Linked DNA regions of Oreochromis niloticus. The main gene of each other region encodes a partner of the protein of the gene in region 2 in a complex. Links are inferred from orthologs where the notes say so. Each region holds a gene or a part of one and is shown on either strand. Other genes may lie near its edges.

Region 1 (7,510 bases), on a different chromosome or scaffold from region 2:
ACCAGTGACAGACCACCACGCCTTTCTCATCCCCGGACACCACCAGGTTTTTATCCACAGGGGACCAGTGCAGCGCTGATACGGAGCTCTGTGCACACAAAGACAAGGAGTGAGTGCATGTCACAACTTCTTCTTAGTCAGGTGGGTGCTGACGGGCAGTGAGCTGTTTCCAAAGACATTTATAGCAAATACTAAACACCAGATATTATTATCTAAATGTAAAACCCTTTGTTAACATTTTGGCATGATGAATCAATATACTAATGTTTTTTTATGCGTTTCAAGATTTTTCAAATAAATATCCTTTCTTGGTTTAAACATCTTCCCAATGATATTTAACCAACATGTCATTACATGCCGTTTATTATTCAGATTAATCCACAGACAAAATACTGCTTTAAGGCATCTGCTCAAGCAAATAATGGAAAATAAATATGCAATGCCCTCAGTAACCTTGACAACTGTTTTAAAAATGCCCTCGAGAGAGAATCACAGAGCTGCTGCAGACGATGTTTTTGCTGCGCATCCCACTGAGTCCTGTCGAGCTCTGATGCTTAACTTTCTATCTCCAGACCTGGTCAGGGGTCCAGTCTCATCAAGGAGACTGGACCATTTCAAATAAATGTGAAAAAAAAAACAAACAATGTGAGACAGCACAACGCACATACAAGCTGCTTCCAAGTTCCCTCTGCTGCTGGTGTAGAGCACACAACATCCTGTAGGGGGCGCAAGCACAACACAAAACCCCTTTCTGTGTTAGTGGACCGGCAGAACAGGACACTCACCTGATGAGCTGCGTGATCCCTAATAAGAGTCTTGCTGCTCGAGTCCCAGAAACGGATACTGCCATCGCTAGAGGAGCTGACACAGATGTGACTCTGCCCTGCATGCTGGCAAAACGAAAAGCCGGACACCAAGTCCTTATGGCCCACGAGCTCACCTGAAAAACACACAGAAAAGGACACTGATTTCACTGCGACTGGAGGATTAATCGGTTTAATTTCAATCATGATTTTAGCTTCCAACAGTTATAAACCCAAGATAAACTGGAGAAAATATAATAATAATAATAATGACTTTTTTTTTGCTTTCAGCTTCTAACTTAATCTATAATAGTAAATCATGAGGTTTTAGTAGATACAAACTTTTCATTATAAATTTATAAAATACTGTAAACAGCTACTAAAGCTCTGAACTTAATGCCCTCTGTGCCCCCTTTAGACTCACCCCTGCATGCTAAAAGTATCACTGCTAGAAAGAGAGCACAGATTTGTGCCAGATTTAAAGTGCCAATCTAAATAAACAGTCCATCTGCATACACATGCCTTTATTTTTGGCTTCTTCTTAATTTAGTTGTGCTGGCACTTTCTTAAATCAGTGGTGAGTGGGGAAAGTGGAAAAGATTTATTTTTTTCACATTTAAGTGATCCAAACAGATGGTTTGATGAAGGACTTTTATTGGTATTTCAATAAGAAAATAAAATCTACAATATGTCTATTTTACCCTCTTTAGTGAGGGCTTTGTGGTGAAAAACAGCCACTATTCTGAGCCTGCCTGACCACCCTGTGTCCTTCAACATCCTGCACACCCTCATTTAACGACAACAAAAGGTGAGGAAACAATGAGACAAACCCAAAACAGGAGTGGTTTTACAAGTCGAGGCCAATTATATTTTTCCCGCTTCATCTTTTTTGACTGCTTTTTTGGTTTTTTTTACTAGCATTGCATTTGGCTAGCGTCAGTGTCAGTACCAGTAGAAAATAGTGGACCCTATAGAACATGGACAAGTAGTCCAACTTCTCCAGGATGGCACATCACTAAGTTTCACTGCCAGAAGGTTTGTAGTGTCTCCCAGCACAGTCTCAAGAACATGGAGGAGATTCTAGGACACACAAAGATACTGTAGGAGAGCTGGACACTGCCAATGTCCTCTACAGGGCCTTCTACTTAATGGACCCTGACTGGCATTTGCCAGAGAATCGCAGAATCAGGAAATCCACCACTGGTGCTCTATGGTCTTCACAGATGAGCACATGTGACAGACATAAAAGGGTCTGGAGAAGCTGTGGAGAACGTTATGCTGCCAGTAACATCATTCAACATGACGAATGTGGTGGCGGGCCAGTGATGGTCTCGGGAGGCCTATCCCTGTAGGCACGCACAGACCTCTCCAGGTTAGGTAACGGCATGACAACGCCCGGCCTCTTGTGATAAGAGTATGCAGGCAGTTCCTGGAGAATGAAGAAACGACACTGACTGGCCCGCACCTAAATCCAATAAAACACATCTGGGCCATTATGTTTTCTTCAACCTGATGCTACCTGGGTGTACAGACTAGCACCAGGACAAGCTCCTGGTACAGATCATGGAAAAGATCCCAAAGGATATCCATCGTCTCATTAGGAGCATGCCCTGACATTCTCAGAAATTAATACAAGCACATGAGGGCCATACAAACTACCACAATGGATTAGCCTGCCACTGCATTTTTTCACATTGACTTTTGGGGTGTTTTTGGTAAGTTCATCATTTTTATTTCCATCGAATGTTGTAAAATCCTTTCACTGGTCACTGCAGCTCATCACAGCCCGAGATCCTCTAATCTCTCCGATTTGGTCAGGCAGATAAGTTGTACCTGAGTTTAACGCGCTGTTTCTGGCTGCAGGGACTTGAACATGAATGGCACGGTCAAGCCTGTGCTATGTGTGGTGTCCAGCGGTGACCGCTCACTTACCTGCCACTCTGCACGAAGATGCAGACACATCTATCAAGTAGATGATGTTTTTGGCCCCGACGCCCAGCAAACCGCTGCTGCTGACATCACTGCAGCGCGAGCAGTACCAGTTGGGAGAGGCGGGAAGCGACCGTTCCCGCATGACGACCTGGATACTTTAAAAATAGTTTTTTTTTCTTTAATTAAGTCCTAGAAACCTAATCCAAACTTCTCACATGTTACCTGCACTATCGTAGCTACAACACTTATGGCCGTACACACAGCATGGTGTCGTAAATCCTACCGGTGCCTGGTACGGAAGCCTAGCTGGGACAATCTAAAATCCGAGGTTGTTGGGTTAAAAGCAATAATTTCCGACATTTATTTTGAACAAAAACAAAAGCTATATATTAATTTCCCTTTTAATACGATGTTTAAATGACGATAAATAACTAAAGTAAAGGAATTACATGCGTTGTGAAAACGCAATAGACTAATATTGACACTGCCATAAAGCGAAGGTATAAATGTCGTAAAAAACCAACATGGCGGCTGCAATGACAGGACGTGGTGAGAGCAATGCAGATATATTAGCCAATAGTTAACAGTTTCGTTGTATTTATAATAAACCTCGTCTACAGTTTAAGTAAAGCGATCTCTTCTTCTTTTCAGGTATCTCTTTTATTAGGAGTGTACCTTCGGTGTTACTCTCACGGTAAGTGCATCAATACTAGTGGCAGGTTAGCTTTACCGCTAACGCTCTCTGCAGGACAAATCCAGCTCAGATCGGCTGTTTATGTTACCTACCTACTCCTGCATCATTAGAGTGGGAATTCCGGGTATCATTTGAAGACAGTGTAGGAGGTTATCTTAATTTTACAGCCGCTATTTCTTCAAGTTTAGGTAACCAAGAAACTCAGCATAGTTAGTCTTGGGGGGAAAAAGAAGGCTACTGGACTTCTTTAGGTTTGTAAAGACGTTTCACCTCTCATCCAAGATGTTGCTTCAGTTTATTTAAAAAAGAAAGAAAAATGGTGATGTATAGTCCCGCTTATTTAATTTTCTAGTTGGGGTTATATCCTTTGAAGGTAGTCCTGAGGGTCGTTGATCCACTTTTGATCACCCATCATGAGACCATGACTATCATGTGAACACTGCCATCACTGAAAAAGTGACCTTTATGCTTTTGGTGCACATGTACAGTTGAGTTTTGTCCTGTTGTGAACCGACTGTTGGGTTTCTCCTGTGTGCAGATCTGAGCACTCCTTGCTGAACTGCATGCACTATGTGGCTTAGCTTGTGTGACAGTTTTGTCCTTGAGCTAAACCAGTTTTTGTCTCAGAGAAAGTCACGGATATTTTCTACAAATAGGACATCCCGGTGCACTTCAGAACCAGCAACACCCTTACCCAGTCAACTGTAACTGCATTTTATTGCACGCTAATGTGTAACAGGGTCATTAAACTGAAATGTCTGATTTATAGGATATGGAAAACAAAAATCTTAATAACCTTTAAACCTTTATTTAGCTTATTGAATTTATGTGTTCACAAAAATGTCAGCTTAATGATTTGTAAAACATTTTGCTGACTTTCTGTCACAGGTGTTACCTTACTCCTTTGGTATTTTATTAAATAATTTATTTCCTTAATTGCTATAGCACATATAGTGATCACATTATTATTATTGTTATTATTAAACACTTTTTACTTTTTCTTCATATGTTGTTTGTTTAATTTAAGACTAAAAGAAAATTAAATACATGAGAGGTAAAACTTGAGGGGGTAGGGACAAATAAGTAGATACTTCTGCCTACTCCTTTTCAAACAAATAATGGAATGATATTTTGTAATGATTGTGAAGGGACATGTTTGAAATAAAATGAACTGAACTGAACTAGTAGTATTATTAGTGTTACTTCTCAGCCGTAAAGGCAGCGTGGACACACAAGTTTGTGAATGCAATAAGTTGAGAACAAAGTCACGTAGGATTCTAAAATTGATACGATAAGTGTAACTATTCAAAATCTCAAAAGTTATAATGTCAGTGACCTTCGTCTCAAGGTCAAGTTTTCTCAAAATCGCATGAATGTGATATATCAAGAGCAAGGTGATGTAGGATTTTGAAATTCATACCATACCATACTATTATTATTATCAGTAACAATAATAATAATAATAATAATGCAACAAATAAGGATCTTTTATTATGATTCATTATGACGTATTATTTTCAGTCAGGTTTGGTGTAATTGTGATTGTATGATATTTGTGCAACAATTTATTTGCTTAACAGTTAAAATATTTGTTGGAAATTTGATGGATGTAAAATTATTAACAAGCTGAATATGGCAAACACACACACACACAACAACACCATCGAGTTCAGCTAAAACCTTCATATGAAGTTATGAAAGAACAGAGAAGAATTCCGATGAATGAAGAGACTCTGGTCTTCCCACGAGCAATTCCTTATAGAATTTAAGGAAATTCTTACACTGTAACACCAGTGACACAACTCCAGGGGAACGTTACTTTCTTTTGATATTTTCTAATATTTTATATTTCGTGTTGTTTATTGTATATTTGATAGTCATAGATAAATTATTGCATTTTTTGGATTGCATAGTGGTAAAAAACCCCAACATGGTTCAGCTTCAGGGTTAAAGCACCTCCTCAATTTCTTCTGTCCTGGCAGCAGCATCTCATCAATGGAAGTTTGGAGGACAGACTTTTAGGGTGGCTGGGATCTGGTGAGATCCTATTGGCTCAGATCTGCAGCATTTGATGTATATGTCCCGTCGGGTGCACCTCCCTATCTGGGGAATGATGCACTCTGTTGAGGTTTTTCCTGGGTGGAAGTTTGAAGTTCTTTAATCATCTGAGTTGGTAGAAGCATTGATGGGCTTTCTTTACCAGTGGGGTGTCTAGGATGATGTAAGGATCAAGGTATTTGAAGTTATTCCAGTTATCCACCAGGGCTCCTTTAATGCTTAGAGGGTGGAAACTTTTCTGCTGTTTCATGTTAATGTCCACTATCATCTCATTGGTCTTACAGGCATTAATCTTGAGGTTGTTCTCCTTACAGCAGTCAACAGGTGGTTAATCTCATCCTGGCAGTCAGATTTGTCATTCTTTGACATCAGATCTGCGCATATTTTAGAGAGTCCAGAGTGGCAGCCAGGGAGGAAGCGATGAAAGTTATGATCAGTTTTTCAGCACCTTTCATGATCACAGACGTCAGTGCTATGGGGCGAAAGTCATTTAAGCAGCTGGGCTGGGGTTTCTTAGGAACAGGGACTATTATTGTCTTTCTGAAGCATGTCAGAATAATGCACTTAGACGGGGAGAGGTTAAAAAATTACTGTGAAGGCTAATAAACTGCAGGCTATTTTAAAAAACAAACAAAAAAACCCCAACATTCTTAAGCCTCCCATGACTGTCTGACTGGGATTTGATCTGAGTGAAGTTGAGTGCAGTTACCAAAGGGAAGGAAAGGGGGGGGGAGAAAAGTAAATAGCATACATAAGTTTAATAAAAGAAAACCCCAAAGCACCAAAGATCCATCTCTTACTGGCTCAATAGTGGAAACAATATTAACAACACCAGAAACTCTTTATTACAAAGCATCACTCTCTAGTTCCTCCAGGGGGAGTAACTGATAAGTGGAGTGTTCCTTCCCCCTCTCCTATCCTCCTCATCTCTCTTCCTGGGGAGAACGATGTCAGGACTACCCTGCTTGGCCTGCTGCCACAATGACTTGACTTTAAATAAGTGGAAAATAACAGATGGACAGATGTGGTGTACACCTGCCTCACACTACTGGACTGAACCCACCTCAGAAACATTTTCTCCATGTTCCCAGGTTACAGATTCTAGGTGGTGGCTCCCAGCAGCTCTCATGTCTCCACACCAGCGCATCCCTGGAATCTAAAACTTGGGAGAGGAGGAACCTGAAAGTGTATCCGCCTCAGCTGCCTGATGAGCCTCGCAGACCAGCAGTGAGTCTTCCTGCCAGTGTATGATGCTGAGTGAAAAGATGTCCTGAACAGGAGCTGATAGAAGTGTTTTCTTCCCACAGGAGATTCACCACAGTAGGAGGCAGATTAAGTACAGCAAAGACAAAATGTGGTATTTGGCCAAAATGGTAAGACGTACTATATATTCAAATCATTCAACAGCTCCATCCTGCTCTGTAGTGTACAGGCATAAGTAATGAAGTGAACTGAGAGTTAGCATCACATTTTAAAAAGTTGTCATCTGATCAGAAATGCTCAAGGAACTATTTCAGCTTCTTTATTTAAAACACTGTAAAAAAAAAAATAATCACTTTTGTGTAATGATCATCATATATTCAGTATGTTCTTCATACTTCACATTAGTCCTAGACAATCAGATTCTTTTAAATATGTTCCTATCTCAAAACGCTAGACTGTGTATGTGCACACATTCCACTGTGTTTGTGGCACATCTGCTCATAGACTCGCTTTGGTTTGTAGGCTTAAGCTCAGTGCCGGAGTTAAAAAGCAGTCCAGCATCCTGCTGTCCTAACAGCTGTGCAGAAACTTTTATTTGATTATTTGGTCCACATATTTTTTAATTTTTTTTCCAGATCAGAGGGATGAGCATCGATGAGGCCATTGCACAGCTGGAGTTTAATGACAAGAAAGGAGCAAAAATCATGAAAGAGGTTTGGAGCTGCCTGTTCACCCTTTTAACTGGTTGTTACCGTTTGTTTGTGTGCGCACAATCCCAGAGTGAAGATTAATCTAACAGGAATTTGATTTAAGTGTTCCT
Region 2 (7,651 bases):
CTCACATACAGTAGGAAAAAAAAAAAAAAGATTCAAAGCTGCTTGAAAAATAACCCCAACCCTCATTTGTTTCACACGGTGAAAACACAAACACACATCAGCCCAGCATCACTCTCGCATCTCGCCGTCCTCTTCCTCCTCTTCTACACCTCTGATGTACAAAACATTATTGCACCTGTGGAGGTCGAGCACAGCATGAGAAAGCGTTTCCTTCCACCAGTCACTTAATTATTAACACAAGTTAGTCAAGTCTGACGACTTCAAACTGTTCGGACTCCCGCTGATTTCTCTCTGCGGCGTTACAAAGTGTCATTCACATACCTGATGAGAACCTCACCGAGATGTCCGGCCAACGCTCCATCCACATACTCTTCTGTGTTTGCCAGCTGTCAAAAAAAACATAAATAAAATAAAACAAAGTTCAAAGGTCAGGTAAGATAATTGGTGGAGCAATGAAGCCAAGATCTCCCTCATCCCAACAACCTCCTCCAGCTCATCCAGGGAAACACTGAGGTGTTCCCAGGCCAGCTGACAGATAAAATCTCTCTGGTGCTTCCTGGGTGTCCACCTAGAACACCTCACCCAGAAGGTGACCTCCTCAACTGTCTCCTTTCAGTGTGGAGGTGCAGCGGCTCTACTGTGAGCCTCTAATGAAGAGGCCAGCCATCCTTTGGAGAAAGCTCATTTCTACTGCTTGTATATCAAAATAACTAAAAAGAGCCTTAACAATACGATCAGGCCCAGACTAGCAAAGTTATGGCATTTTTCTACAAAAATCTTGTTGCTGCAGCTCCATCTGGTGGCAGATGGTTGTATAAATATTTAGGACACCAATTCACCATCATTGGACTTTAAATAAAATGTAATTAGATTAAATGACTTGTACATTGAGCACCGACTAGTGACAATAGCAATGATCAGTCGCCACAGTTGCACAAATTCATACTTAAAACATGCGCTAAATAAAAGAATAATAAAAAAAAAAAATGTAATCCTAGTTGCCACAGTGATTTCACCAGGTAAAAACAGAGCCACTTTGGTGATACAGAAAACTCTGACTTTAAGTTTAGCATAGCCTGTGGTGTAATTCTATAAATGTGCAGTTTTTAAGGGTAGAAACTGTTCATACTTCACAAATTATCGAGTATCAGGATGTTTTCCCTGAGGTGGATTATTGATGTTGTCTTAAGTATATTAATATGTGTGCATTTTCATCAGGGTGTATGTTTAGAACTACAAGTGAGGACAGTTTTGAGTTAACACAGGTCCCCTCTTCTGTGACTGTCTAGTCACTGGTGTACCACCCAACACTGGAATGATGCTTCCTTGCAATGATGTCATTTTATCCTTCAACAGGAAAATACTACAGGTTCTTGTGTGACCCCATGAACACATTACTCGAGTTTTAATAATAATAATAATAATAATGATAATAATAATGATAAAGATAATAACAATAATGTATACTTTATTCCCCCGTGGGGAAATTACTTTCTCTGCATTTAACTCATTCACTCAGTGAAGCAGTGGGCAGCCACTAATCAGGCACCCGGGGAGCAGTGTGTAGGGACGGTACTTTGCCCAGGGGTACCTCAGGGTAGCTGTTCAGTGGATTCAAACCCCCCGACCTTCCGCTCATGGGGCGACCACGCTACCTACTGAGCTATCCCTGTCCACAAAAGAGTTTTCTGTTGTTGCTGGGTAATGCAGGGGAACTGTGTGCTGACGGCTTGGAGGAGTTCTGTGTTGCATTAAGCAACAGTAAAAACAACCTTCTAAGAGAAGAGCTGTGTATGCTGCTTCAAACACAGTGAAAGAAGCAGGGGAGGCAAAGGTAACACATTACTCTGGGCTAACAGTTGTTTTTACTTGGATATGGAATAACACAAAGTTTAGAAAAATAAATCCAAGTCACCTTTCATGCTACAGCAGCTGCATTAATGGCAAACTAAATGCGCTTGTCAATGTTAAAAATCACATTAGCTAAAAACTGCTTTTATTTTGAAATCGAGTCTCAGTTTCTCTTACCATAATATCTAGTCTATAAACAATGCAAAATTTGACCGTAGAACAAATTTTAGGTAATTGAACAAGGCAAATGATCCATACCTGCATATTCATGTACCCGTCCACAGACACGAGGTAGCCCTTATATTCCATGCCCCACTTCAGCTTCACCATCACTGGTTTTCCAGTCAGGCCGTTCAGGAAGGGCTTCGGGTTCAGAGGTAAACTCTGGAGAAGCAGACCAATCAGAGATAAATACACACACATTAAATTCAGACCCAATGAAACAAACAGCTACGGTTTAGCATCGTAATACCCGTACATGTCAAATCAAAACCATATGCAGTGACTTATTCTGGTCTGTGATCCTATAGTAGGTATCAGGTCTCTAAAAAGAGCTCTTGCACATTTCCTTTCAGTTTGCACAATCTTTCAAAGACAAAGACGATTAAAAAATAAACCGTAAATTTTATGATGATCAAGTTATTATAAGTATTTAGCTTCAAAATGTTTGTGTGGCAGTTAAATTAGACGTTTTCTGAATGAAGTTTGGTGCGACACTCTCTACGGATTCAAGCAGGAAGAAAAGCGCCAATAAACAAACAGCAAATAAACGGGAAGCATTGAAACCAGCCGAATTATGTTTCCGTAGATAAACATAAAATGCGAGGCTGCTTTCCGTGTGAGGATTCATTCATTCACTATAAAGTTATGAATGAGATACTAGCTTCGCCTATGCTAACCAGCTAACAGGCTAGTCGCTATTCCCGCGCCCTTCTGAGTAAAAAATCCCCCCAAAACATCCGGTGAAGCTAAAAGGTAGTGTTTCCGAGCTTTACTCACCATTTTAGCTCAAATTAAATAAGCACTGTGCGTTTTAAGGTATACGTTTGATATCCTTTCGTCACAATAACGTTGCACTTCACAGCAGCACACGCTTTACCGCCGACCGGAAGTCCTGCACTTTGCTTCCTGAGGAGTCTGCGTGTTTTTACACACCGCTACCTAGCGGTCAGGGGTTCACACCACACCCAAACCGCATTGTTCATTTATTTATTTTACTGCTTATTATGAGCAGAACAGAAACCGTTAAGACCATGAGAGACATGAGAGAAACAAGCTGGGGTCAACCATCAAAGCAAGGGACAGCGCACAAGAAAGGAGAAAAAGAGGGTGGAGGAGGGATGGAGCGGGTGGAGACAATGTCAGGAGTGATTTGTGACAGGATAGCAACCATTTATAATCTTCAATACGATCAGTTGCAGGCAGGTGGCGCAAAGAACATACTAAATAAGGAATATGTACAGATGTGGTCAGAAGTTTCCAATAATTTGGGGGTTTTAATTACTTCTTTAAACTTTAGTTTTTCTAGAGTGGGATGATTGTACAGTATACATCTTTAATGACTTTAAAAATAATTGGGTGCGCAAGTTTGAATTTATTTTGGATTTTCAAAAGTATACATACTGTCTCAAATGTATAAATTAACTTAAATCTTTTAATAAGTGGTTCTGATTCAGAATAATAGGAAAGTCCAAGGAACCCAGTAAAGATCTAAGAAAGATTATTGTAGATTTACACAATTTACAAAGGTTTTCGGAGCCATTTGTAAACAACTGCAAATTCAAAGATCATCAGTTTGCATGCATCATTTGGATGTGTCAACACTTTGAGGTCTTGAAGAAGACCCCAACTGTCATTCTCAGATGAGAGGAAATTGGTTGGGACATTCAGGAACAACCCAGGAACCATTAAGGCTCAAGCCTGCCATGAACTAGAAACTTCTGGAACACCTATGTCTCTGTCCACAGTGAAGCCAGTTTTACATAGCTATCAACCAAGAAAGAAGTCCCCCCTCCAAAAAGACACCTTCAAGCTTGAATGAAATTTGCAGCTGTCCACACAGACAAGACAAATGCCTTCTGAAGCCAGTTTTATGGTCACATGAGACAAAGATCAAGCTAATTGTCCACAATGACAAGAGGAATGTTTGGAGGAGTGAAGGTCAGGCTATCAAACCTAAGAACCCTGTACCAGCTGTCAGGCATGGCGGTGGTAGCATCATGCTCTATCTGGGGCTGTTTTGCTGCCAGTGTTCTGGGACATTGTAATTTAGCATGAATACCTCAATAAACTTCAACTTAGCTCAAATTAACAGCTAAATGACTGAAAATTGAACATAACTCAGCGTTCCAACATGACAATGATCCCAAATACACATCAAAATGACAACTAAAGTTATTTTGCCTCATGATAATATACTTAAAAGTTAAATTGTAATCTGATTACTGTTCAAAGCAAATACACTGTAAAATCTAATTAGTTCCCAGTACTCAAAAAAATTATGGAAACTCGTTGCCTCAAAAAAATTGAGTAAAGCTTAGCTAAAAATGACTAAGTTAGGTCAACTTATTTACTTTGAGTACTCTGTACAAGCTCATTTGTTCCCAGAACTCAAAAAAATTGGATCAAGTTTACATAAGATGACCAAGTTAGGGCAACTTACTCATTTTGAGTACACTGTACAGCCTTGTTAGTTCCCAGAACTCAAAAAAATTATGGAAACTCGTTGCCTCAAAAAAACTAAGTAAAGCTTACTTAAGATGACTGTTAGGACAACTTATACATTGCAAGTCTGCAGTATTAACAATAACTTGATATTTCTGACTGTACAATACTAATTGTTTACCTACTGACAAAAATGTTAAGCTCAACTAAATGAAAAAACAATTTGTGGTAACATGAATATGATTAAAAATAATTAACAACAATTTTTGTAATGATGTTAAAATGAGCCCAACTTTTATTTTCAAACACAAAGTACAACAGCCAACATACTGGACACTGTTCTGCTGAACAACAAACAATTATATTGCCATCACTGTTATAATCTTACAATGAAACAAAGTCTCAGATGTAATTATTCTGAAAATAAGTTTAGGCCTACCACAGTTTGTTTTGTACTTACATTACTTATATAATCAGAATAAAATATTTATCGTTCTGTCACAAGTGCAGTCTCTAATTTAAACAACACATTTGTTTTGCATTCCAACACATGAGCTGGAATGTTGTATTATTTTAAGGATGGCTTGTTTCCAGTCCAGGCATTACTGCCTGAATGACTGTCATGGATCGAGGTGATCCAAATGTAGGTGCAGAAGAAAGTCTTTAACTTCCCTTAAGTACACTGGCAGTGGATGTGGGTTGGAGATGCAATGAGCTTGAACCTGCAGGCGACCATCTTCACTGACCACACCATCTGTGACGGAGGACTCATCTCTCCTGGTGTCCTGCAAGCAAATAGTCATATTTTTTGGAACATGAACTTAATTGCTTTCTTAAAACATTTTTTTCTGCATTTGGTATAGAACAGACTCCAATTTAGACGATCTCAGGCTCCCTCCCCACCGGAGAGGTGACATTCAATGTCCCAATTGTCAGTCTGCATAGTGACCACCACCCAGCATACAATAATGTCATGAAAGCATCATTTTAAAAAGGGCTATGCAAACATGGCCAATAACTTTCATTCTAATGATGTGCAAAATGATTTTGGGCACAAAACAAATTTTGCTGTTAGAAAACTTGCAGACTTCACTATATACAGTGTAGACCCTCTAAACTAAGTTTGGGGGATGTGATCTTTCAAGAAATGCAGACTAAACTGTTGTTGTTTGTTTACTTACACAGCATGTCTTGTAGAATTAACTGGAGTCACCAGCAACAGCATAGTGCAGTCATATCTCAAGTCTAATAACAGAAGACAGGAAAAGATCAGTAAAGAAACAACTTCCCCAAACCAAAGCACAAATAAAACAATAAGTAAAACAGGCTGATCTAAAGTATGATTAAAGTTCAGCCTGATTAATATAAATGTCACTGACAGTTGCTAATATATTGGAAAACCAAAATACTTACCACTGAGTTGATGTCTTTCTGTCCAACAGCAGGAGTGCTGGTCCCGATCGGCCTCAAAGACAGTAAGAAGCAAGCAGAGGGAGAAAAAACAGAACATTTTTCAGAAACTGATTTGATCCTTAATGGCTGTGCAATCATTGTAACATAGAGTTTGCTTATGTTGTTAAATAAAGGCTAGATTTGACATTAATAGATGCCACAGATGTTCTAAAGCTGCCACAAAGCATGAAAAAAAAATAGACGTCTCCGAAAACGTCGGAGCATTTTTGCAAATATGTGATGTCTTGATAAATCGAGCGGATATTTGAGCTTTACACAGCTACATTCTCGCCTGAAAATATCTTAAAAGTTTATTTTGTGACCCAGAAAAAGTAATAAGTTTTTCAGCGGCGCTCCTCCGCCATTGCCGCGCTTACAAGTACGCACAGGCTCCGACAACCGTGGCCGACAAATGCGATCCTCCTTTTCCCCAGACTACCCTTTCTGGGTCACAAAATAACCTTTTAAGATATTTTCAGGCGAGAATGTAGCTGTGTAATGCTCAAATATCTACTTAATTTATCAAAATATCACATATTTGCAAAAGTGCTTCCACGTTTTCGGAGAGCTCTGTTATCCACCCCCCACATCCCACACCTACCCCACCCCTAACGGCTGCACCTCCCGAAGAATTTTGTCTGGGCTCTTATCTCACTTATTTATTTCAAACAATCAACAGAAAATTTCACCACATAGTTTTATGTAAGGTTTTTAAGGCTGTGGTGTTAATTTTTAAGTAACATGAGCCCAGCGGCAGCAGCAACGCTAGGCTAACACTAACTAGCTAGCAAGATTTTAAACCTGGTGCTAAACTAAGAGAAGCCACAAATCAGTTTGAATAAGAGTAAACATTTACTCACCAAGTCAGTGTATCAGGTAAAGATCCACAGCAATGACAACAATAATATCTTGAGCTGACGCTTCTCCAGGTTTGCTCAACATATTCCATAAAAAATGCACCGTGAACATGCGGACTGATCCGAGAGGGAGGAGGACTGTAGTCACGTGGCATTTTCAAAACACATCTTTCATCCTTCCGCACTGAGAAGCAAAACTTCCAGCTTACTTAGTTTTTCTAAGTTAAGACAACTCAAATAAATTGAGTTTATCAGCGTTTTTGCATAAAAAGTACTGGTAACTTATTTAAATTGAGTTCTAATAACAAATTGATAAAAACTGAGTTCAGCCTATTTAATATTTTTAATTAAACACAATATTACATTTTACAGTGTAAAAGCATCACTGTCGGTGCCTCCACCTGCCCTCAGCTGGACTGAAGGCAGATGGAAAATGACATATCCTGTAGGTGCAACACCTGCTCTACTTATGTCACTTTGACATGCCCCTCACCCACAAACTGCTCACTAGTTGAACCCTGTGGCCTCTTTGGGGGCAAAAAGTTAAATATCTGTAATAACCAAGTCGGCCGGTTGTAAGTCTGAGCAGCAATTTCACTCCAGGCACAAACAGTCTGACGCGCTCACATTTTTTCTGCGCTGAAGCGTTGAACCGTTTCTGAAGTATCTGACAAGTTCAAACCTGATGCGATGAATGAAACTAACACCTGACTTCCTGCTGTTAGAGGCTGCGATTGTCCAGAAATTCCTCTGACATTGCAGCAGAGCTTTATTTGCATATTTGAAATGCTCGTGTCCTTACATCATTTTAGCTCATGAGCCGCCCT

The links. The genes of interacting proteins can lie anywhere in the genome.
Region 1: snrpf (region 2) and gemin5 share a complex: the UniProt entries of both Homo sapiens proteins name them as parts of the SMN-Sm complex. The link is inferred for Oreochromis niloticus from reciprocal best matches to the Homo sapiens genes SNRPF and GEMIN5.

Annotation. Positions count from the first base shown.
Region 1 is NC_031975.2:29,177,659-29,185,168, forward strand, and holds the start of gemin5 (gem-associated protein 5), read right to left. Parts: upstream 3,013-7,510; 5' UTR 2,878-3,012; coding exon 2,736-2,877; intron 941-2,735; coding exon 786-940; intron 89-785; coding exon 1-88. Other genes in the region: mrpl22 (large ribosomal subunit protein uL22m), read left to right, coding at 3,260-3,284, 3,387-3,429, 6,579-6,714, 6,795-6,860, 7,326-7,403. UniProt on the Homo sapiens protein: The SMN complex catalyzes the assembly of small nuclear ribonucleoproteins (snRNPs), the building blocks of the spliceosome, and thereby plays an important role in the splicing of cellular pre-mRNAs.
Region 2 is NC_031981.2:17,184,195-17,191,845, forward strand, and holds the start of snrpf (small nuclear ribonucleoprotein F), read right to left. Parts: upstream 3,007-7,651; 5' UTR 2,854-3,006; coding exon 2,851-2,853; intron 2,236-2,850; coding exon 2,110-2,235; intron 387-2,109; coding exon 322-386; intron 176-321; coding exon 109-175; 3' UTR 1-108. UniProt on the Homo sapiens protein: Plays a role in pre-mRNA splicing as a core component of the spliceosomal U1, U2, U4 and U5 small nuclear ribonucleoproteins (snRNPs), the building blocks of the spliceosome.